4 linked regions of the Oryctolagus cuniculus genome follow. The protein of the gene in region 1 interacts with the protein of each later gene in a biochemical or structural test. Links are inferred from orthologs where the notes say so. Each region holds a gene or a part of one and is shown in the gene's direction. Other genes may lie near its edges. The genes, in order: WWP2, SMAD3, SMAD7 and WBP2.

Evidence for each region.
Region 2: of the proteins of WWP2 (region 1) and SMAD3, one has a biochemical effect on the other in vitro, tested with the Homo sapiens proteins (2 studies listed by BioGRID). The link is inferred for Oryctolagus cuniculus from reciprocal best matches to the Homo sapiens genes WWP2 and SMAD3.
Region 3: the proteins of WWP2 (region 1) and SMAD7 are reported together in a solved structure, tested with the Homo sapiens proteins (2 studies listed by BioGRID, with this or other methods). The link is inferred for Oryctolagus cuniculus from reciprocal best matches to the Homo sapiens genes WWP2 and SMAD7.
Region 4: the proteins of WWP2 (region 1) and WBP2 form a complex in vitro, tested with the Homo sapiens proteins (4 studies listed by BioGRID, with this or other methods). The link is inferred for Oryctolagus cuniculus from reciprocal best matches to the Homo sapiens genes WWP2 and WBP2.

Annotation. Positions count from the first base shown.
Region 1 is NC_091449.1:52,876,104-52,881,801, forward strand, and holds the start of WWP2 (NEDD4-like E3 ubiquitin-protein ligase WWP2), read left to right. Parts: upstream 1-2,028; 5' UTR 2,029-2,164; intron 2,165-5,698. UniProt on the Homo sapiens protein: E3 ubiquitin-protein ligase which accepts ubiquitin from an E2 ubiquitin-conjugating enzyme in the form of a thioester and then directly transfers the ubiquitin to targeted substrates.
Region 2 is NC_091443.1:89,949,036-89,954,177, forward strand, and holds part of SMAD3 (mothers against decapentaplegic homolog 3), read left to right. Parts: intron 1-1,362; coding exon 1,363-1,556; intron 1,557-1,702; coding exon 1,703-1,834; intron 1,835-2,250; exon of another isoform or gene 2,251-2,528; intron 2,529-2,796; coding exon 2,797-2,871; intron 2,872-5,142. UniProt on the Homo sapiens protein: Receptor-regulated SMAD (R-SMAD) that is an intracellular signal transducer and transcriptional modulator activated by TGF-beta (transforming growth factor) and activin type 1 receptor kinases.
Region 3 is NC_091441.1:28,937,541-28,942,682, forward strand, and holds part of SMAD7 (mothers against decapentaplegic homolog 7), read left to right. Parts: intron 1-3,820; coding exon 3,821-4,359; 3' UTR 4,360-5,142. UniProt on the Homo sapiens protein: Antagonist of signaling by TGF-beta (transforming growth factor) type 1 receptor superfamily members; has been shown to inhibit TGF-beta (Transforming growth factor) and activin signaling by associating with their receptors thus preventing SMAD2 access.
Region 4 is NC_091448.1:4,795,029-4,800,756, forward strand, and holds the start of WBP2 (WW domain-binding protein 2), read left to right. Parts: upstream 1-2,148; 5' UTR 2,149-2,754; coding exon 2,755-2,813; intron 2,814-4,672; coding exon 4,673-4,781; intron 4,782-5,728. UniProt on the Homo sapiens protein: Acts as a transcriptional coactivator of estrogen and progesterone receptors (ESR1 and PGR) upon hormone activation. In presence of estrogen, binds to ESR1-responsive promoters. Synergizes with YAP1 to enhance PGR activity.

The DNA of each region.
Region 1 (5,698 bases):
CCTGGTTGCTCCTCTTCCAGTCCAGCTCTCTGCTGTGGCCCTGGAAGGCAGTGGAGGATGGCCCAGGTCCTTGGGCCCTGCACCTGATGGGAGACCGGGAGAAGCACCTGGCTCCTGGCTTCAGATCAGCGCAGTGCGCCAGCCGCAGTGCGCTGGCCGCGGCGGCCATTGAGGGTGAACCAACGGCAAAGGAAGACCTTTCTCTCTGTCTCTCTCTCACTGTCCACTCTGCCTGTCAAAAAAAAAAAAAAAAAATCCTATACCATAGGACCTACAGCAGTGTGTTGCGCAATAAATGTTGGTGAAACGTATCTATTCCACAAATTAAAGAAGTCTCCTGTGGACAAGGCACTGATCTGGAAGCTGAGACAAAGCTCCTGTCTTAGTAATTCTTATCATGAGAAACATGGATTTGTAAGATTTTCTATTCTTACAGAAGTCACACAGTGCTAAGTCTTGAGGACACATGGAAAAATAAGAAAGTGAGAAGTGGGCTGGTGGGAGGGGAAGGAAGAGATGAGTTGCATTCGTTTTTTTTTTTTTTTTGACAGGCAGAGTGGACAGTGAGAGAGAGACAGAGAGAAAGGTCTTTCTTTTCTGTTGGTTCATCCCCCAATGGCTGATGCGGCCGGCACACCGCGCTGATCCGAAGCCAGAAGCCAGGTGCTTCTCCTGGTCTCCCATGGGGTGCAGGGCCCAAGCACTTGGGTCATCCTCCACTGCACTCCTGGGCCACAGCAGAGAGATGAGTTGTATCCTAAACAGAGTGATCGTGAAAGGCTTTGCTGTGTGACAGCTAAGCAAACATCTGAGAGAGAGAGGGTGGGAAGTGGTCGTTACTGTCTCACTATATGGGGAAAGAGCTTTTCAGGCACTGGGAGAAGCAAGTCCAAAGGTCCTGAGGCCAGAGTGGCCAAAGGGCAGAGTGGGGGTGAGAGAAGAGAAATAAGAAGGGACTGTGGGGAGGGGAACCATGCGGGTGACCACCTATATTTCTAGCTTTCACTGCTTAATGCACCCTGCATGCTTTTTACTTAGTCCTCTTGCTCTTTGGTGAACACTTACTGAAAGCCCACCCCACAAGGAAGCCTTTCCTCACTCCTCTAAAGCAGAATTAGGAAAACGCCCGACAATGAAATTGGAGAAGCGTCAGTTTCGTGGCAGGGTTTAACAGGTTTAACGAATTAAGAGATGGCTGTATATTATTGAAAGGCAAGGGACTGAGTTCAACCAATTTCATTTGTGTGCATGATTGGATCCATCCAAATGCTAAGGCTCCCCCCACCCAAAAAAAAAAACAAAACGGGGTAATTAGGTTGCTAGTATTAATTTTAACCAATGGTAATTAAAAGTGAAAAACAGTCTTCATCCAACTTGTCAAAGCTGAGGCCCTGCGCCGTTAGTAAGGGATGTTGACATAAAATGTTCTTGCTAAGTTGTATGCACCTGCAGATGAAGGGAACAGGGGTTGGCTGGGCGTGATAGGGGGCATTTTATGCCCCCAGGCAGGGGCTTCGAAGCTGTTCTACTTCATGTCCCAGATGTTCCACGACGGACAGGTCTGTTGCTTCTACAGTCTAGAACCGCGCCTGGCACGTGGCAGGCATTGAGTCACCAGGATTATCAAACACAAATACAAGCGGCACAATCCAATGTGATTTTCAGATAATCTTAGTATAAATATATCCCATGTAGGATATTGGGCAGACACGGTTGTTTACCCGAAACTGAAATTTATCTGAGATTTCACTTTAATAACTTTATTAACCCCACTAAGGAGCTCAAATACTCGTGATTTGTTTGACCCAATTGAAAGAGGATCTCCTCGCACCTGTAAAATGGGTCTAAATCACAGCACGCGCCTCCCTAGCGTTGCTGGGCAGATAAAGCCAGCACGTGGCACCTGGCGAGCCCTCAGTTTATACGACTGCTGGGAAACAAATTCATGAGCGGCAAAAGTTTCGCCTTATACACACGGCCACAGGACCCGGGCCTCTTCGAGGCCAAAAGCTCGCAGGCCAGGCCTAGGTTGCCGGCACCTGAGAGCCCGGCCAGCCTCTTCCGGGTCAGGTGACCGCGCGCGGCCACGTGACCCGGCCCGAGTGCGGGCGGTGGAAGGCGGAAGTGGGAGAGGAGTTGGGCGCCGCTTCTGGGGCCGGGGCAGGTAGCGAGCGCGGGCGCGGCGGGCGCGGCGGGCGGGCGCGGGGCGCGGAGCGGGCCGGGGGCGGCGGGCGGCGCGCGGTGGGCTGGGGGCGGCGCGGCCCGGGCGCCGGGGGGCGGCGGCTTCCTGTGGGAGGGGCCTGGCGCGGCGGTTCCGGCCTCCGAGGAGGGGTGTCCCGGCTCCCGCCCGAGCGGGGTGGGCGCGACGCGGCCCGCGTGGGGCCGCTCCGAGGTGGCCGGCCGGGAGCCGGTGCTTCCGGGAGCGGCGCGGCGCGTTGGTGCCGGGGGGCTGGAGGGACAGGCATCGCGATCTCTGTGGAGGGAGCAGGGGAAGGGCGAGTTGGGACGGAGCTGGGAAGGGGGTGCCGAGATGGACATAGGGCGGGCAGGGCAGGGGAGCAGCCCGGGAGATGCCGCCTGAGCCCCACTGAGGGCGTCTTCCCCGCTGCGTCTTTGGCAGCGATGTTTCCCCGAGACTTGATTTCGGGCTCAGTCCATCTTTAAACTTCAGGAGGGATCACAGAATCTTGGTCGTCTTGCTCTCGTCACACCCACTTAGTCCCGCGGGCGTCGGGTTTCCACTTCTTGGGAACCTAACCCTTCAGGATCGCCTTTCTTTGGGGCTTTTCCCCCTTGATCAAGTCGTCTTCGAGGCTGAAGACAGAAAGCGTGGGCGCTCTGCTGTGGCTGCAGGAAGGTTTCAGCCTACGCTCTTGACCATGACCTAGCCCAGCACCGCCTCGGCCGGAACACCGGCTAGAGGACCGTGTACCTGTGTGCTAACGACTTCGGGTCTGGCTGTGGTTTAAATTATTCAGCTTCCCTTACCACGTGACTGCTTATCTTGACCAGCTGTAGCTAGGTAGAAGTCTGTGTCCTGTGCCTTAGAACTATGACCTGGCGCCTGATGTTGAGATTAAATACCCATGTCACAGCTGTTCATCTTCCTCTTTCTGTAAATGTTCACTGAATGTTTTGCAGAAGTGAGTCTCATGCGTGCACACACAAGAGCCAGAGTCGTTCAGGGTTACAAGTTAGAGAACAAAAGGACTTTACTAAATGTATGAGGTGTTCAGGTTTTTGAAGTGTTTGATGAGCATTTAGAAGTTAATTTTTGCAGCAGCCCTGTGATTTAGATGGGGAAAGGTCTTTTTTCCACGTCATGAGAAACAGACAGACTTAAAGGAGTCTTGACTTTTAAAACCAATGTGTTCTTTCTTGTTTACTGGTCTCTTCCTGCTGGACGTAAGAATCTTCAAGGGCAGATACCGTGTTTTATTTGGCTTCTTTGACCACTAGCCAAGTGCCTGGCATGTTGTGGGCACTTGGTCAGTGTTTGGCAATAAATGAATTTCTAAAGTCATACAGCTGTTAAGTGTTGGGCAAGGGATTTGAACCCAAGTCTTGGGTCTCTAGTAGGCAAGCTGCTGTTTTCTGTGCTGCTGGTCTATGTGAACATGATAGGCATAAAAGAAGGGCTTGGATCGGCTTCTCATCACTTAATGAGTACTTTCTCCTTTACCAGGAGCGTACGCCCACGTCTCATTTAATCCTCTCGGAGATCTTCTGAAGGCTGGGGTTGTCCCTGTCCCGCAGATGCAGAGACTGAGGCTTGCTGAAGCCCTTGCCTTCGATTCCAGAGCTAGTACATGACCCAGCAGCCACTCAGGCCCACACCTTCTGTTTCCAGACCATCCTTTTCCATTTATAGAAGTGATAGAAAGTTTTATTGAAAAAAGTTTTTTTTTTTTTTTTTTTTTTTTTTTGACAGGCAGAGTGGACAGTGAGAGAGAGAGACAGAGAGAAAGATCTTCCTTTGCCGTTGGTTCACCCTCCAATGGCCGCCGTGGCCAGCGCGCTGCGGCCGGCGCACCGCGCTGATCCGATGGCAGGAGCCAGGAGCCAGGTACTTTTCCTGGTCTCCCATGGGGTGCAGGGCCCAAGCACCTGGGCCATCCTCCACTGCACTCCCTGGCCACAGCAGAGAGCTGGCCTGGAAGAGGGGCGATCAGGACAGAATCCGGCGCCCCAACTGGGACTAGAACCCGGTGTGCCGGCACCGCTAGGCGGAGGATTAGCCTAGTGAGCCGCGGCGCCGGCCTGAAAAAAGTTTTTAAAGTACAAAAAGTATGATGCTTTAAAGAAAACATACTACGAATTAGAGAAAAAATTGTCCATGTGCAGTGTAACTGAGGACTAGAAAACCCGCTACTGCAGTGTCTTAGTCTGTGTGGTGCTGCTTAACTATACCATGGACTGGGTCGTTTGTAAGTGAGAGAAGTTTATTTGAATCATGGTCTGTAGGCAGGGAAGCCCAAGAGTTGAGGGACTGTGTCTGATGAGGGCCTTCTTGCTGTGTTGTAACACGGTGGAGGGCATCACATGGAGAGAGAGAGAGAGAGAGAGAACGAGAGAACATAAACACTAAACTGCTTTTCCAACAAACCTGTTCTTGCAGTAATGACATTAATCTACCCGTGAAGGCACGGCCCCCATAACCTAACCGCCTTTTAAAGGATCCCCCTCTCATCACCTGCACTGGGGGTTAAGCTTCTGACACAGGACCTTTGGGGAACACATTCAGCCACAGCATTGCCATGGCTGCCTCTTCCCAGGACAGTGCTCCTCCCACCAGTATTGCAGGGACCTGTTCCATGCCAGGCAGTTTCTAGAGTTGCAAGTAGCCTCATGGTGCTGGTGAGCCCTGGAGATACGCTGTAAGCATTCAGTCCACACCAGACTGGAAGACTTAGCATAGGAAAAAAGTAAAATGTCTCTTGGGCATTTTTTTTTTATAACATAGTAAATGAGCAAACAAATAGAAGTCATCAAATTATATTTTTGATTTATTGAGTTAAATGTAATTAATTTCATCTCACTTTTTAAAAATGTGCTTCCTAGAAAGTTAAAAAATCATGTATGGTTCCCGTTGTATTTCTTTTGGACAGAGCTGTTCTACATACCAGGAATATAGCAGTATAGAAGAAAGGCAAAGTCTTCCACCTTTGTGGGTCTTAAATCTGATTGGGGAAAGGTACAATAAGGAAACCAGCTAAGCAAAATACGTATTGTAATATGGCAGAGAAGAAGAATGTGAAAAAAAAAAAAAAAAGAATGTGGAGTGTTGGGTAGAGTTGCAGTTAACTTTTAAAAACATTTATCTGAAAGAGAGAGCTCCCATTCACTTGTTCCAGCCAGGGCTGGGTCAGGCCAAAGCCAGGAGCCCAGAGCTCAATCTGGGTCTCCCATGTCAACTACTTGACATCATCTGTTGCCTCCTAGTGCATTAACAAGAAACTGGATCAGAAGCAGGGAACCAGGACGTGCACCAGGCACTCCTGTGTGGGTTCCTGGTGTCCCAAGTGGGGACCCAGCTGCTAGGCCCAATGTGTGTCCCAGGGAGGCAGTTTTAAGTCTAAGGTTTTTAGAAAAAATCCCCTTAGGAGGTCAAGGTTAAGTAGAGATGTCAGGGAGGTGGGAGAAGGGGCCATGTGACTGAGTGAAGGAATAGTAGTGCTGACAGAGGGAAGAGCAAGTA
Region 2 (5,142 bases), on another chromosome or scaffold:
CCTCCACAGGGCCTTTGCACATGCTCCCCCCTCCCCGAAAGTCCTTGTCCCCATACCTCTTTGCCTGGTTGGTTCTTGCCTATCCTTTGGACCTTTAGGCCAGCCATCACCTCCTCAGTGGTGCTGTGTCCATCCCATCAGCACAGTGGGGTCCCATGGGCATATACCGTTAAAATGTAAAGATTGATTGATTTGAAAAGCAGAGTTGGAGAAAGGATCTGGAAGTCCGTCTAGGTCTCAGATGTGGGTGCTCTCTGCTGCTTTCCCAGGCACACTAGCAGGGAACTGGATCGGAAGTGGGGCAGCTGAGACTTGAACCAGTGCCTACATGCGATGCTGGCATTGCAGATAGCAGCTAACCCGCTGCCCACACCGGCGGCCCCTGGCATACACTGTGTGTGTGTGTGTGTGTGTGTGTGTGTATGTATGGTGGGTCCCTGTACTAGTTTGCACTGCAGCTGTCTGGTTATTTGATTGACAGCAGTCTTGCCCACTGGACTCTGTAACCTCCAGGGAAGCAGGGTCTGCTGCTCCACTGGTCTGTTGTGACCACGAGGTCACTTTCCCGAACCAAATAAGGCCTCCCCTGCCTCATCCCCTCTGCCACTCCCGAGTCCCCTTGGGACCCCCCTTCTGCGGATGCAGTTCATGGGGGTCAGCTCCAAGTCTGCCCTTCCAGCAAGCTTCCTGGGACCCAGCTGTGGGTCAGGGGTCACGCTTGAGCTGGCGACGCTGGATTACAGCCGTTGTGAGGCCAGGTCGCCACACAGGGCGCCGCTGGTGTTCCCGCTCACTGTATGCGCGGCCCCTGTGGCTTTCACGCTTGAGTCTGAGTCTCGGATGGAGGCCAAGGAACTCCCGAGGGGCCTGGCCTGTGGGTTTTGCTGTTTTAAACTCCCTCCCATTCCCCCATTTCCTGCTCTGCTTCACCCCACAAAGCACGCAAGAACGGGAGAGAGAGACGGGGGGGGGGGGGGCAGGGGAGGGACCGGGAGGATGTGAGAGCCCTCCGGGTAGCAGGTGTGTTCTGCCGTCCCTCTTGCCGTCGGCCGCCGTGTCTCATTGGCTCCTGTCCCCTCTGCACCTCTGCCAGACGGGTGGCTCCTGGCCCTTTTCCAGTGCTGTCCCCTTCTGGGGTCCCTGCAGAACGCACTCTGAGGGCTGGTGGGGGCCACGCCCACACTGCCAGCTTGGGGGTGGGGCTGGTTTCTGTTTTCTCCTGGGGTTCCTCCAGCTCTGAATCTCTGATTCCCGGGACCTCAGCGGCTGGACGGTGAGCAGGGGGAGGGCAGCTTCTTGCTGAGCTGCCAGCAGAAGGAAGCCCAAATCCACGTGGCCCTCTCTTCCCGCCCTGCCCCGCAGGTCCCTGGATGGCCGGCTGCAGGTGTCCCATCGGAAGGGGCTCCCTCATGTCATCTACTGCCGCCTGTGGCGATGGCCAGACCTGCACAGCCACCACGAGCTGCGGGCCATGGAGCTCTGTGAGTTTGCCTTCAACATGAAGAAGGATGAGGTTTGCGTGAATCCCTACCACTATCAGAGAGTGGAGACGCCAGGTACGCCCGGCCTGGGCCATCGGGGCTGGCGGGGCGAGTGGGAGGGTCTGGGGTGGGCTTCGGGGTGCAGGGCTGTGGTGCCAGCCTGGCCCCAGGCCCTGAGCGGGTGTCTGCTAAGTCCCCCCTCCCCCGCCCCACCCCGGCAGTTCTACCTCCTGTGCTGGTGCCACGCCACACGGAGATCCCGGCCGAGTTCCCCCCGCTGGACGACTACAGCCATTCCATCCCCGAGAACACCAACTTCCCCGCGGGCATCGAGCCCCAGAGCAATATTCCAGGTACACCCCCGGGGCGGGGGGTGGGGGGACCCCCTCTCTGTCCGGCTGGTTGGCCGGCTGGCGCTGGCCCCCGGGGGCCCCTGACTCAGGATCGCAGCCCTGTGGGGAGAGAACCCGTGGCCTCAGCTCCCCGCTCCCTAACGATGCTTTTCTTGGCACGGCTCAGCGGCGTGACCCTTCCGCCCAGCCTCGGCGCAGTCATTTATTTTGGAAGCGGAAATAGCAATGCCGTGTTTCTCTCACCGCCCTCGCGGCCCTGGCGGGGCTGCTGCTGGGCGGAATCCCATCGGGCGGCCCGGCAGCCAGGAGGGGAGCGGCGCTGTGAGTGCCCCTGGCCTTCACACCCGGGAGGCCCACTTGGAGCGTTTCCTCTGCCAGGAGGACCCGGCTCCACGTCCACAGGGCTCTTGGTTTTTTGTGGTTTTTTTTTTTTTTTTTTTTTTGATGCCCCTCGTTTACATGTGAATAACATGTGAATCACCAGCCCTGGCAGCCTCTTGGAAGCCTGCGCTTGCTGGGGCTGCGATCCCGCTGCCTGCCTTGTGGGGCCTTGGCATTCAGACGTGGCTTCCACGGCTTAGCTTTCTGTGCTGAGGTCGGCTCCAGGCCTGTGTGCTTGGGTCCGCGCGTTAGGGAGCGACCCACTGCCCAGCCCGGCTCAGGTCCTACACAGGTGGCGCTGCTCGCTCAGGGGGTAAGTCAGGGCCTGGGGGTGGCTCCGGAGGCCTCACTGGAGGAGGCGGGGGCTTCACCCGATTTCCAAGGGTGGGAAAAGTGAGCTTGGCAGGGGTAGAGGTGGTTACAACCCAGGTGGGCAGCTGTGGCGCACTGGTATGGGGACAGCGGAACCCAGAGCTCGTGCCCCAGCAGCCACCCGATGCTGGCATGGTGGTGTGAAAAGGGGTGATGTTTGCAGAGGGGGTCAGAGGCCTTTTAATGAACCAGCTGCCTTCTGATGGCAGAGACCCCGCCCCCAGGCTACCTGAGCGAAGATGGAGAGACCAGCGACCACCAGATGAACCACAGCATGGACGCAGGTCAGTCGGGGGGGCAACAGGCTGCCCGCCTCTGCTGGGGTCTCGCCCTCCCTTTCTCTCCCTGCCCCCTTCCCCTCAACCCCTGCCTCCCGTCTTTCTATCCAGTATCTATCAAGCGAGTTTGTGTGGGATACCAGGAAGAGAGGAGGAGACTGAGCCGCCCAGAGCTGCAGGGCCCTGCTGGCATCAGGGCCACCAAGGCGGCTTGGGGAGGGAGCAGGACTGGCAGGGGAGGGGTCTCCCGAGTTGGGTCTTGGTGGGGTTTAGGTATGAGGTGGGCTAAGAGTGTAGGGAGTGGGGAGATTCTGGGAATAAGGTGAGCTCAGTGTGGCTTCCAGAGAAGGGAGAGAGAAGAGGGCCTGGCACTCGGGGCTGGTGCAGCCAGGCAGGCCATTTGGCATTGGGTCTGGGCCCCCGGCTGGGTCTGCACCTCGCTGAGGTGTGGCCGTGGGCAGGTGGGCAGGTGGAATCCATCAGCTCAGGAGGTCCGGGTGGGGCGAGAGCCTGAAGGGGAGGAGGGTTTTTCTTTGGCTGCCCGGCAAAGGCCCCTGAAGTCAGCATTTCTGAGCGGTGGCCAAAGGAGATGGGCAGCTCCCCCCGGGAGGCCCCGGCCTGGCTCTCTGCTGCTGCGTCCCCGGATGTTCCCCGCCCCATCATTCGCTGTGGGACCCAGTTGGCTCCAGGCTAGCAGCTTCTGGAGTTGTCAGCGAGAGTTTCTTGGGGAGGAGGCACAGGCTGCCTAGCAGGTGTCCTGTTCTGGACGGGGAGCCGGAGCCCAGGAGAGAAGAGCAAAAGCGACTCAGATACACGTGCGTCATGGACGTCGCCGCCGGCCTCCAGCCTTCAGGGGAGGCTAGCGCGGGGAGCAGGCCAGCCAGGCAGCACCCCAGCCTCCCTCCCTCCCTCCACCTGCCGAGTTTCCTCTCCCTCTGCCTGCTCTCGGGCCTCCCTGCCACTGTCTGCGTGTGCAGTGCCTGCTGTTACAAAGGATGCAGACCAGAAGGGACGCTCTGTGCGCGGCTTCACCCTCTGCTGTCCCTCCTTCCGCTTCCTCTGCCTGCTTCCTGCCCCCTTTCCCTCCCTCAGCCTCCATGCAGGGCCCTGCTGGGCACATTAATCAGATCTATCCAAAGGGGGTGCTAGGCTTGCGGCCGTCTGTCTGCCAGGCTTCAGTGGGTGGGGCTCCTCAGTTACACCCCAGAGCAGTTGCTCAGGGCCTGGCCTCCCTGCTGGCTGCCAGTGCTAGGGCCTCTGGCCCCCTGCGCCTCCAACCCCGTCCACGTACACAGCCATTCAGACCAGGGAGGAGGTGCCACAGCCTTCCTGGGGTTTATGATTTCAGTTGCCACAAATCAGGAAGCAAAAGTTTATTGAGTGCCTGCTGAGTACCCAGTGTAAGCATTTCTATATGGCCAGTCTCAACTTTTTAAAGATGTATTTATTTGAGAGGCATAGTGAGAGAGAGGGAGGTAGAGGTATTCCGTCTGCTGGTTCGCTCCCCAGATGGCCGCAACGGCCAGAGCTAGGCAGATCCGAAGCCAGGAGCCAGGAGCTTCCTCCAGGTCTCCAGAGCACTTGGGCTATCCTCTGCTGCTTCCCCGGGTGCATTAGCAGGGAGCTGGATTGGAAGTGGAGCAGCCGTTTTGAAGCTTATCTTTAAGGCTGAGTCGGAGCCAAATCAAAGACCCCCTGTGAACAGCTGAGGGCGGCCCAGGTTTGAGGCGAGTGCCAGGCTGGCAGCAGGGGCTGGGGGATCTCAGGGTGGACCTAGACCCCAGAGGGCGGTTAGTAAATAAAGAACCCTCCGTGGCTTTGAGGTGGCTCTGGGGAAGATGGCCACTGGCTTTCATTGCAGGCTGATCCCTGTGTGCTGGTGAGAGGTGCAGGGAAGGCCTGGGTGGGTGGGGCTCCTCCCATGTGCACCCTCCTGTTCTTTGGTCAGCTGGGGTCAGGAGCTTCCTGGGCCTGTCCTCTTCCTGGGGGCGTGGGCCACACGGCAGGTGTATAACTTAAAGGAAAAGGGGCAGCCTTGCGTAGCTGAGAACCCAGCAGCAGCCAAAAGCTGTCAAATCATGGAGGACATCTCCAGAGTCATCTGTGAGGCCCATTCATTCCACGGGCCCAGGGCGTGGGTCCCGCCTTCTCCTGCAACATGGAGTCGCAGGCCAGGGTTTTCTTCCTACCAGCTTGAACCTTTCCTTGTTTTTTTCTTTTTTCTTTCTCTCTCTCTTTATGCCAAAAGAGAAAAGAGAGAGAAAGAGAGAGAGAGAC
Region 3 (5,142 bases), on another chromosome or scaffold:
AAGCTGCCTGTGTATGTGCTCCTTTTGGGTTGTTTGCCCGTTGGGAACAGGGTCTGGCAAAGGTTCTTGTGTGTTGCAGTGATTGGGGTAGGTTCGGGTCAGACGAGTTGGCACTGGTCCCCTTGTGTCCTTGTCGCTGCCACGGGCTGGTTCGTCTCTCGGAGCAGCTGGTTCCCTGAGCGGGTGGGGAGCAGGGTGACGGGTGCTGTTAACCTTTGAGATGTCTGATGCAGAGGGCAGGACAGGATGAGGCAACCGGCCGTGGCGCCTGGGTCCCGGGGAAGGGAGGACCCTGGGCTGCTGCGGGCGAGGCGTGGTGCTGTTTGCGTTCCAGGGTTGCCGGGTGTGAGCCTGTGTCTACATTTCTGCCCTTGGTTTGCCCCTGATCAGCACTGAGAGGCCTGTGGGAGGCAGCCCTTCCTGCCAGGCTCACTTCCTGTCTGCCTGCCTTCTGCAGCGCCAGCCTTCTGCCCTGCTGGAGCCCCGGGGAGGGGGCTGCGGGCCCGGGCACCTTGCACCCTGGCAGAGAGACTGCACATGCATGCAGTCCAGTGCCTTGCAGAGGTGAGAGCCAGGAAGACCCCCGCCTCCTGGCTGCTGGCCAAGCTCACCCATGTCCTGGAAGGGCTGAATCTTGGAACGTCTGCTCCCCATGGGTGCCTCCTATGTGCTCAGAATCCCACAGGTGCCTCTGGGACAGCCCCAGCTCTCTGGCCTGGAATGGCTTCGTACCCCATTGTTGGTCATCTTTGTCTTTCAGTTTAGAAATCAGGAAGAAGACAGTTTCTTGCTGACCCACTGTGGGGCCTTCGGGTCCGGTCACCCTGTGCCATTGGCCAGGGTCTGAGAGTCCCTGAGCTGCTGGTCTCCTGTCGGCGGCAGGAGCGCCTTGCTGGATGGTCACCCCCCACCCTCCGCCCCCTTCCCTTTAAAGGGGAGAGTTTATGCTTTCAGGAAAAGGAGGAAGGGGAAGGGGGGGAAAACACCTTAAAGGAATTTTAGGCAGACTCAGCATGTTTTTGGTGTTGCTCCAAAAATTCCCTAAAGTGTAATAAAAAGAAAACGCTCGCAGGCATTGATTAGTGAGCTTTTCTTTGGGATGCTTTGAAATGAGCACATGCAGTTGGGCAAGAAGCTGGGTGCAGTTCCTGCGGGAGGGCAGGAGGCGCTGAACACACAGGGGAGGCTGTGACCTTGAGGGCAGGGCCCCTGGGCTCTGCCTTTCGGAGGTGATGGCCAGAAGCCGAGGCTGAAGGCCCGGGGACTTCTCAGCCCCTGGCTGCCTGGCCTGGGAAGCCCCGGGCCAAGCGCCCACACCGGCCCTGTGGGGAGACTTTGTGGGCTGCGGGCCCGATTCGGGGAACTGGTCTGTGACAGTGACGCTGAGTGCTTCCCAGAAACCAGCCCGGCTGGCGGGGGCTCTGCCGTGTGGGGTGCCCCGGGAGCACCCAGGGCTGCGTGCCCCGCAGTGGATTTGCTGGGGAGCGTGTCTTTGTGCTAGGAAGAGCCCTGACAGGAGGCAGAGAGCGGAGCTGCCCTGGGGGGGGGGGCGGGAGGGGGGCACCCTGCCGGCTCTCAGGGGCCCTGTTTACACTCAGGGACACCCTTTATCTGGGCTGGGCCATTAACCTCAACAGAAAGAGGCTTTTTCCAGGAGAGGTCTGGTAGCGGGGTAGCTACGCGGGCTGCCCAGATGAAAGAGAATCCCGCTGGAGCGCCCCTCCCCGCCCCCTCCCAGCTCCCTCTGCCCCGAGAGGCCCCGCCCCTTTGGGGCCTGGCATGGGGCACCTAGGTCCTCTTCCTCCTTGCTCCCTGCCAGTGCCTGCCAGCTTCCAGTGGCGCTAGGCTGCCTGACACCCAGTGGGGCTCCCCGAGGGAGGAGTCTCCCACCCCCAGCGCCCCTGCCCAGCCCCTCTCCCAGGCCAGGTGTGTGCTGGGGGCAGCCAGGGCTTTCTCTCCGCCAGAGATCTTCTGGCTTCCGTGGCTGTCACCGGCCTCTGGTGTAGCCTTGGGAGGTGAACTCCCAAGTTCAAAGATTGCCCGCACTCGCCGCTTTATTAGCAGTTGATGGATCCTTTGCAGACGCTCGATGCCTGATGATTCACTCTTTGCTCAGAGCCCTTGCCTCTCTCATGTTTTCCCATATGTTGCAAGGTGTGTGTGTGAGAGAGAGAGAGAGAGAAAGAGAGAGAGCACACACAGCCCAGGGACACACAGTGCTCTCACGCACGCTGCCATAACACATACACTTAGGCAGCGCACGCCCGGCCATCCAGGGATGGGTGGTGACCGCCAGTCTCTGGGCATAGATTTCAAAGTTGGGGGTGGAGAGGGAGGGGGAGAGATGAGCCCTGCCACGGCCACAGCTCAGCACGCGTGTGTGTGTGTTCGTGGCTGCCTTGGTGGAGTGCAGTGTGTGCATTATTTGTGCAGACTTATTCACAGGCCACCTCCATCCAGGACTGGCTGCTGCTTTAGGAAAAAAAAAAAAAAACAGCACTAATGGAGCCGACTGGTGCCCAGGTCCCAACATGCCTGCAGAAGCTGGAATGAGTCTGTGTTAAGCTGCACCGGTTCCACAGCCCACTGGGGTTCAGGACAGGCGCCCCGAGCCCTCCTCCTACCGCCGACCGACCCCTGGGACTGGGCAGCTCCCTGTCAGGGCCTCTGGGAGCCCGGTTGCTCCCAACACAGACCCCAGCGAAACGCGAGTCACACTTCAGTCCCTGCCAGCCCACCAGACGGGGAGGGCCGGGCTGCAGGGAGGGTGGCATGCCGGGCTTTCTTGCCTCCCTCCCCGTTCCCCGTTCCCCGTTTTCTTTTTTCTTTTTCTTTTCTTTTTTTTTTTTTTTTTTTTGTTAACAAATACAAGACTTCCGGTCTCCACCCTGCCGCCACAAACCACAGCGTCCCTGCAGCCTGGCTGGGCTAGGGAGATTTATGGGCCCCAGTCTGAGGCCTGCCCGCTGGCTCCAGCTTAAGGAGGAGTCGGAATGCCAGCCGCCTGGCCCCCTGCCCTCCCTACGATCCCCCCTCCCTTGCAGGTCCCCGGAGCAGAGGGTTGGGAAAATCACCTTAACAGACTCACCCTGGGCTCTGCAGAGCCGGGTGGGGCCTGCAGGAAGGCCCTGGGGGAGGAACAGCCTTGCACTGTGCAGGGTCAGGATGCCTAGGGGAAAAGGGGGAGGGGGCACCCCTTGGCACGGCCACTGGGGCCACTTCCAGGACATGGTCCTCTCTGTTTTGGACTCCTCACCTTCTGGCTGGGCAGGAACCAGTTTTGTTAAGGTAGTCTGGCTTGATGTCCCAGTGTGTGTTGTGATTGGGCATTTTGAATTGACCCCTTTTGTGCAGAGCTGCTGGACAGTGGTGGCGGGGGACCACCAGGGTGCTGGATCTGTCTGTGTCACTGCCTGGCTCTGAGTAACAAGCTTTCTGGGTCCTGGGTTTCCCATCAGGACAGCCCAGGGCGCTGGCATCAATGGCTTTCAAAGTTGCGTCCAGTTGAAACAGCTGTAATTCCAGGCCACCTGTAACCTTAAAAGCAAGAGCCACGAGACTCAGGCACCTCTGGCCCGTGCTCTGCAAGGATGGGGCTTCCCTGGCCAGGTTGGGGGAGCTCAGGGCTGTGCACCAGGAAAGCCGGGCTCTTCTCTTACTGGGTCACGATTCCAGACTCCAGGGCCTGCAGCCGGTCCAGGACCACGGCCGCCCCTCCTCCCTTCTGCCTTGGCACTGAGTGTGTGTTTTGGTCCTAGAAGCAAAAGCAAACGCCAGTCCCCTCCGCCACCAACCGTGCGCCCCCCTTTTTGTCTTGCAGATTCCCAACTTCTTCTGGAGCCTGGGGATCGGTCACACTGGTGCGTGGTGGCATACTGGGAGGAGAAGACGCGAGTGGGAAGGCTCTACTGTGTCCAGGAGCCTTCCCTGGACATCTTCTATGATCTACCTCAGGGGAACGGCTTCTGCCTCGGACAGCTCAATTCGGACAACAAGAGTCAGCTGGTGCAGAAAGTGCGGAGCAAAATCGGCTGTGGCATCCAGCTGACGCGGGAGGTGGACGGCGTGTGGGTCTACAACCGCAGCAGTTACCCCATCTTCATCAAGTCCGCCACACTGGACAACCCGGACTCCAGGACACTGCTGGTGCACAAGGTGTTCCCCGGCTTCTCCATCAAGGCTTTCGACTACGAGAAGGCGTACAGCCTGCAGCGGCCCAACGACCACGAGTTCATGCAGCAGCCGTGGACTGGCTTCACCGTGCAGATCAGCTTCGTGAAGGGCTGGGGCCAGTGTTACACCCGCCAGTTCATCAGCAGTTGCCCGTGCTGGTTGGAGGTGATCTTCAACAGCCGGTAGCCGCGTGGGGACAGGACAGAGCATGAGCCGAGCAGGCCAGCGTTCAAACTACTTTGCTGCTAAGGTTTCCCTCCCGAATGCTTGCTTTTCATGCAGACTCTTTGGTCGTGTTTTTTGTTGTTGTTGTTTGTTCCTGTTTTCTACTCGTCATTCTTCTTGTTTGTGTTCCGTTTTGTTCTTTGAGAAATAGCTTATGAAAAGAATTGTTGGGATTTTTTTTTTTTTTTTTGGAGCAGGGGTGGGGGTGGGGAGGCCTATGGTTGGTGGGATACCCCAGATAAGGAAAGGAGGGGGAAGCAGTGTGTGGACTGGGGAGCAGCCCCTCACTTCTCTCCAGGCATCATTTCACCTGTCGGGAGTGTGCGTGTGAGTGAGCGTGTGTGTGAGTGGCCGAGGCGGGGAACGCCACACTCTCTGCTCTGTGTTTCTGACGGATGTCCCCGCCGACAGGTTGTGGCACCAGCTGTGTCCCTCTTGCCCTTCGGACGCGTTCCGTGGAGGCAGAGGCAGTACCTTGGGCGAACTGGCGGCTGATGTCCCAGTGGCTACCGGAAGCACGGCTCTGCCGCCTGCCCCCCGAGACGCCCCCTGCCCCGCTCTCCCCCCGTTTCTAGGACACGGGCCTGTCCACAGGCTTCTGAGAAGCCAGCCTCCTCAAGGCTGAACCGGAACCGACCCTCTCCATCCTTGCCTTACTCTGCCCCCGCCCCGCCCTGCCCCGCCCGGCCCGGCCCCGGCCCACCCCGGCCCAGCTGTCCTGGTGTCTCTGTTCCTCAGCCACTG
Region 4 (5,728 bases), on another chromosome or scaffold:
CCTGCTAATGCAGATCCCTGGAGACAGCAGTGACCTGGACTGAGTTTCTGTCTCAGCTTCAACCCCACCCCACGCCCAGCTGTCATATGCATTTAGAGGGTGAACCGGGGAACACGAGCTTCCCCCCAGATAAATAATTCATACTTTAAAAATATTTCTTCTTGTGGGTCAGAATGTAAAAATTGAGAACCAGTCTCTGGAGAGCAGCCTGCTCACCTCGTCGCGTCACAGCACACACGGGTTTGCTCGGCTCACAAGGCCAACAGAGGAAGCTGCTGGGACCCAAGAGGCCGCGGACTGTGGGGCGCAGCCCCCCCCCCCCGCTGGCTTCTGTCGCAGGCGCACCTGCGCCCTTCTCTGCGCTCCGCCAGCCAGCTCTGGCCTGGAGAACGCACGCTTCAGTTCAGAAACGAAGGGTCCTTACCGGACACAGGCAGAGCGACAGGAAAGAGGAGAAGAGGTTCCAGCCCCGAGACCCCAGCCCAGAAGGGCTTGGTCCAGCAACGAGCTGCTGCGGGGCCCTCAGCTCCAGCCCTGGGGTCGCCGGCGTCTCCAGGACCTGGAGCAGCGGTGTGGCCGTGGCTCCCCCGAACACTTCAGGCCGGCATCACCTAAGCTTGCTATGGCTCCCACCGGGAGGTCCCCGTGGCTACACTCCTCCTCTGGTCACAAGGCCCCTGGTGGCCACAGCGCCCTGCGCTACAATCCTGTATTCCGTCCAAAACCGGCTGAGCTTCAGCCCCCCCCCCCCCGATCCCGCAGCTGGGGGCCCGTGTTGTGTCCCAGTGGGTTAACCAGTGCGTTAGCTGATGCCGGCACCCCCTGCGATGGAGTTCCAGGCTCCTGGCTTCAGTTCGGTCCAGCTACAGCTATTGAAGCCACTTCAGGAGTGACAGCAGATGGCATCTTGCCTCTAGCTGGACCCTAGTTTGGCCAAGGGGTGGGGTTGGGGCTTGAAGGTTCTACCCTACCTCCCTTCCATGGAGCGCCCCACTGCAGGGGGAGTCCCTCCCCCCTCCTTTTTTTTAATTTATTAATGTGAAAGGCAGGGAGAGAGGAGAGAGAGAGATTCACCTTCCATCTCCATCTACTGGATTACTCCCCAAATATCCACACAACACCCAGGGCTGGGCCAGGCCTAAGCCAGGAACACCAAGCATCAGGAGCTTCATCCTGGTCTCCCACGAGGGTGCAGGGATCCAAGCACTCGGGCCATCTTCCACTGCTTTCCCAGGCTCATTAGCAGGGAGCTGGATCCGAAGTGGGGCAGCCGGGAACCGCCCCCCCCCCCGAACCTGTGTCCTTATAGGATGCCGGGGTCGCAGGATGGTGCCACAACGCTGGCCCCCCTTCATTGCCCTGTTTTTTAAAAATACAAATGAGTTCTTTACATGGGCTATAGAGATGGCACCTGCCAAACCGGCCCGACCACGTGGGGCGGCCGTCACCGGGACCCGCTCAGTGCCCAGCCCAGGCCCTGCGAGGTGCGGCCCGGCCTGGCACAGGATCGCACGAGGCTGCTGTGTCAGGATCTTCCCCGTGACGCGGTCCTCGGGACGCAATCGCTTTCAAAGCTAAGGCAACCAAACTCTGACCCGTGAGATTAACCATTCCCGGAATGGACTCTGGACGCCGCCTGCCCCTGGGCCGCTGGAATCACAGCTTCTCTGAGCCAGCCCAGCTTTGGAAGCCCCGGTGTCTGGCTGCCGGCCTCGCACTCCGCCTGGTTTCAGGGACTCCGTCTGGTTGAAATTTTCCAGGCAGGGGCCGGGCTGGCTGGGGCTGCCAGGCAGAACATTCTAGAGCGGGCAGCGCCACCGCGAGGCCAGCTGCGGTGGAGTCGGCGGCGAGGAGGGAGCCCGAGGGACCCCGGCCCCACCGCGAGAGGGGAGGGGAGAAGAGAGGGGAGGGGGACGAGGGGAGGGAGGGGTGGGGAGGGGGAGAGGGGATAAAGAGGGGAGGGGAGGGGAGGAGAAGAGAGGGGAGGGGGACGAGGGGAGGGAGGGGTGGGGGGAGGGGATAAAGAGGGGAGGAGAAGAGGGGGGAGGGGATAAAGAGGGGAGTAGAGGGGAGGGGAGGAGAAGAGGGGGGAGGGGATAAAGAGGGGAGGAGAGGGGAGGGAGGAGTGGAGGGGGTGGGGAGGGGATGGCGGAGGCGGGGGCAGTGAGTCTCCCCTCCCCACTGCGTCCTCGCAGCCCACCTCGGAGAGCCTGGGCTTGACTGGTTAAAGGGGTGGCCGTGTTTTCCTAGGGAAACTGGGCCTTGGGCCCCAGCCCCAGGGCCCATATTCTGTCCTTGTAGGCCTTATTAATACGCGCCCGTGGCCTTTAGGATGAAGCCCCTACCCCAGGAAGAAGCTAAACTGTTTATTCCCAGCCTTCTGGGGACGCGCACAGTCCGATTGTTTACGCAAACCACAGCGTCGATCCTAGCCTGTGGTCTAGAAGACTACAAGTCCCAGAATGTATTTCCAGAACGCATCTCTTTCATCAGCGTAGGGACCGGGCCAGGCTGAGGGCGAACTGCCTACTGGGAATTGTAGTCTCCAACTTGTTTGTGACGCAGGCGGAACTCGGGGGAGAGGGAGAAGGAATAAACTATTACCACGTGACGCCCGGGATCAGGTGGTTGGGCCAGCCTCCGTGCAGGAGCTGTGATTGGCTGGTTCTAATAAGAACGACGCCACTAGGGGCGGGCCGAAGTGGGGCGCAAGCGTACTGCGGTTTGAGTCTCGGGACCCCTCTCGGAGAGACTATGGCGCTCAACAAGAATCACTCGGAGGGCGGCGGAGTGATCGTCAACAACACGGAGAGGTGAAAACTCCGCGGCAGGACCCCGGAGGACAGCGGGGCGGGTGTCCGGGGGTGGGCGGTGGGGAGTAGACCCCTGCGGGGGCGGACTGGTGGAGCGCCGAGGAGGAGTGACGGCTGGGGGCGGGCCCGTGGGGGGCTGCGGTGTTGCGATCCCAGGGGCGGCGGGTGGGGAGGCCCGGGGGTGGCTGTCGGGCGCCTTCCCCGGGAGCTGGGAGGAGCCTGGCGCAAACATTGCCATTGCTGAGTGTTGACTCCCTTACTACGTGCGGGGCCCGGGGCCTCGGCCGGCTGGTGGGCGCCGACCCCCGCGCGGCAAACTTCCTGCCCTACGCGGGGCCCGGTGGGGCGAATGGAGCGCCCGGAGGTGGGCGCGCCACTGCCGGAGCTCCGGGCGCTGAGCCGCGCAGACGGGCGCTGCAGGAGAGGAGTCCACCCGGGCTTCACGGCCAGGCTTAGGGCCAGGCGAGAGGCTGAGGGCCCCGAGGGCGGATGTCCCGGCTCGCGAGTAGGTCCTTGTAAAGGTTACCACCCACCGGGCCACTTTGTCGCGAAGGCCTGCTGGCCTGGGTCGCCGCCAGGGTCAGGGCTGGTCCTGCTCCCCGCCCCTGCTCAGGGCATCGCTCCCCTCCTTCCATCCTCTGGGTGGCCTCTCCTGCCCCCTAGGCCTGGGGCATTGGCCAGCCAGGCCTGGCTTGAGCCACGCCGAGCCTGGTTCGCTCTCGAAGGCAGAAGGAACCGAGGAGCAGCCTTGGTCTCCAGGGCGGACAGGGTGCAGGGAGAGCCGTGCCAGCCCGGACAGCACCCAGCCCGGGCCCTGCCAGGGGAGACTGCGGGGTGCCCTGGACCCCAGGGAGCTTGCTCTCCCTGCACCCACCTGCTCGGCCGCTGGGCACTAACACCAGCTGGCCGCTGGGCACGTCTTCCTCTGGGCCGCCCTCCTCCCTGCTGCTACGCCCCCCCCCCCAGTGGAGAAAGTTGTAATATTTGGGAAGGGGGGGGAGCCAGATGGGGCTGAACTTGGAGCTTTTCTATCGCGTAGTCAGAGTGGCCTCAGGTTACAGACGGGCGTGTTGTGTCTGGAGCCTCTGCCTAACATCGCTTGATCTCCTGGGACTTTGTCTTTCTAAGGGGGACTTAAAATGTATCTGTCTGGGACCGGAACGACGTCCTGCTGGGCCCGCCCCCCCCCCCCCCCCCCGCGGGGCTCAGTGTGCCTGTACTTAGTGCTTTGTTGTTTTTGAGAGACTCCCATCCGCTGATCTGCCCCGAATGCCCACAGCAGCCAGTGCGGGGCCAGGGGTCCAGGTCTCCCACGTGCGTGACGGGGACCCCATCACCAGAGCCGCCGCTGCTGCCTCCCAGTCGGGAGTGGGGACCAGGACTGGGTCCAGGCTCTCCCATACGCAGTGCGGTGTCCCCAGGGTGGCGCCTTAGCCACCAGGCTGAACGCCCATCGCAGTGGCCTTGTTGGAGGAGGAAGTTGTGTCTGTAACTGAGCCTGGTGTTTAACACTGGATGTGTAGAATAGTGGGTTCCTCCCAGGAAAGCGCACACGCAGGATCGTCCTGGGGCTTCGTGGTCAGGTGTCCCCGCAGACCAAGAACCCCGGAGGGAGCCGTTTGAGAGGTGTGGCGTCATGCCCGGGACTCAGACACGTGTGCTCTGCTCAGGTGACAGAAAGGGACCTAGGAAAGGCCCAGATGATGCCCCGCCTGCAGGCTGGAGTGGCCACGTGGCTGCGGGGGACCCTGCTCGGCTGCGTGAGCCCCTTCCTTGCACTGTGAGGAGGGCCCAGTGCCGGGTCCCAGATCCCACCTCTGCAGTGTCTCATCCGGGCCTCTCCCCTCCCCTGGCCACAGCATCCTGATGTCCTATGATCATGTGGAACTCACGTTCAATGACATGAAGAATGTGCCAGAAGCCTTCAAAGGGACCAAGAAAGGCACGGTCTACCTTACCCCTTACCGGGTGAGTTGCTCAGCGGCGCCGTGGGTCTGGGGGCTCAGGGGTAGGTGAGTCCCGGTCGTAGGTCAGCCTCAGCCTGCGGGTTGAGGGGCTTCCCTCCGCCCGTTCCTCTGTCCCGTGCTCCCGGACCCCGGGCCGACTACAGCCGAATGGGCTGCTGGGCAGTGAATCGGAGCTTACCCCGGGGTGCCGCCTGGAGGCCGGCGGCCTGGTCGTCCAGCCTGGGTTTCTGTGAGAGTAGCCGGAGAGGCCTTTGTGCTCACGCGGAGTGGTGGACGTGGTAAACAGGATGCAGTAGCCTGGCTCCAGCCTCCAGCCTGGGCAGCGAGCCCAGCGAGTCCTGCAGAGAGAAACGCCAGATTGCAGAACCGGCTCGCCTCCCAGCTGCCCACGCCGGCTTGGAGATGAGCACGAGCGGATGTTCTCAGAGGAGGAGCCGGCCGTGGCCGCGGAGGGCAGTGGAAAGACGGCCGCAAGCGACAAGCAGCAGGGCGCGTTGTCAGGATGGGTTGTTTTTTGTTTTGGATTATTTTTACTACTTAAAAAGCAGAGCGTGCTTGCATGAGAGAGAGAGATCTTCCATTCGTTGGTTCCTCCTCCAAATGCCCACAACAGCCGGGAGCCCGGAAGCTCTCTGGGACCCACGTGGGCGGCAGGGGCTCAGCACTTCCTGCCCCCGGGAAGCAGTAGCGAGCGGCCGGACTGGAAGGCGCACGCCTGCAGCAGCACGACACCTCTCCGCGTCTTCAGGCCGTGATCACCGGGACGTGGCCACGGCAGAGGAGCCATGAGACGCCGTCCCTGCACGGCCGGGGTTGAAAGGAATCCAAGGTGGCGTCTTCACCCCCAGACTGCAATCAGGATGTTAACGCCCCGCGGGCTCTCCACACGCACGCAGGCCGGGTTCGAGCAGCAGTGTGGACACAGCAGCCCCTGGCCCCGACTCGGAC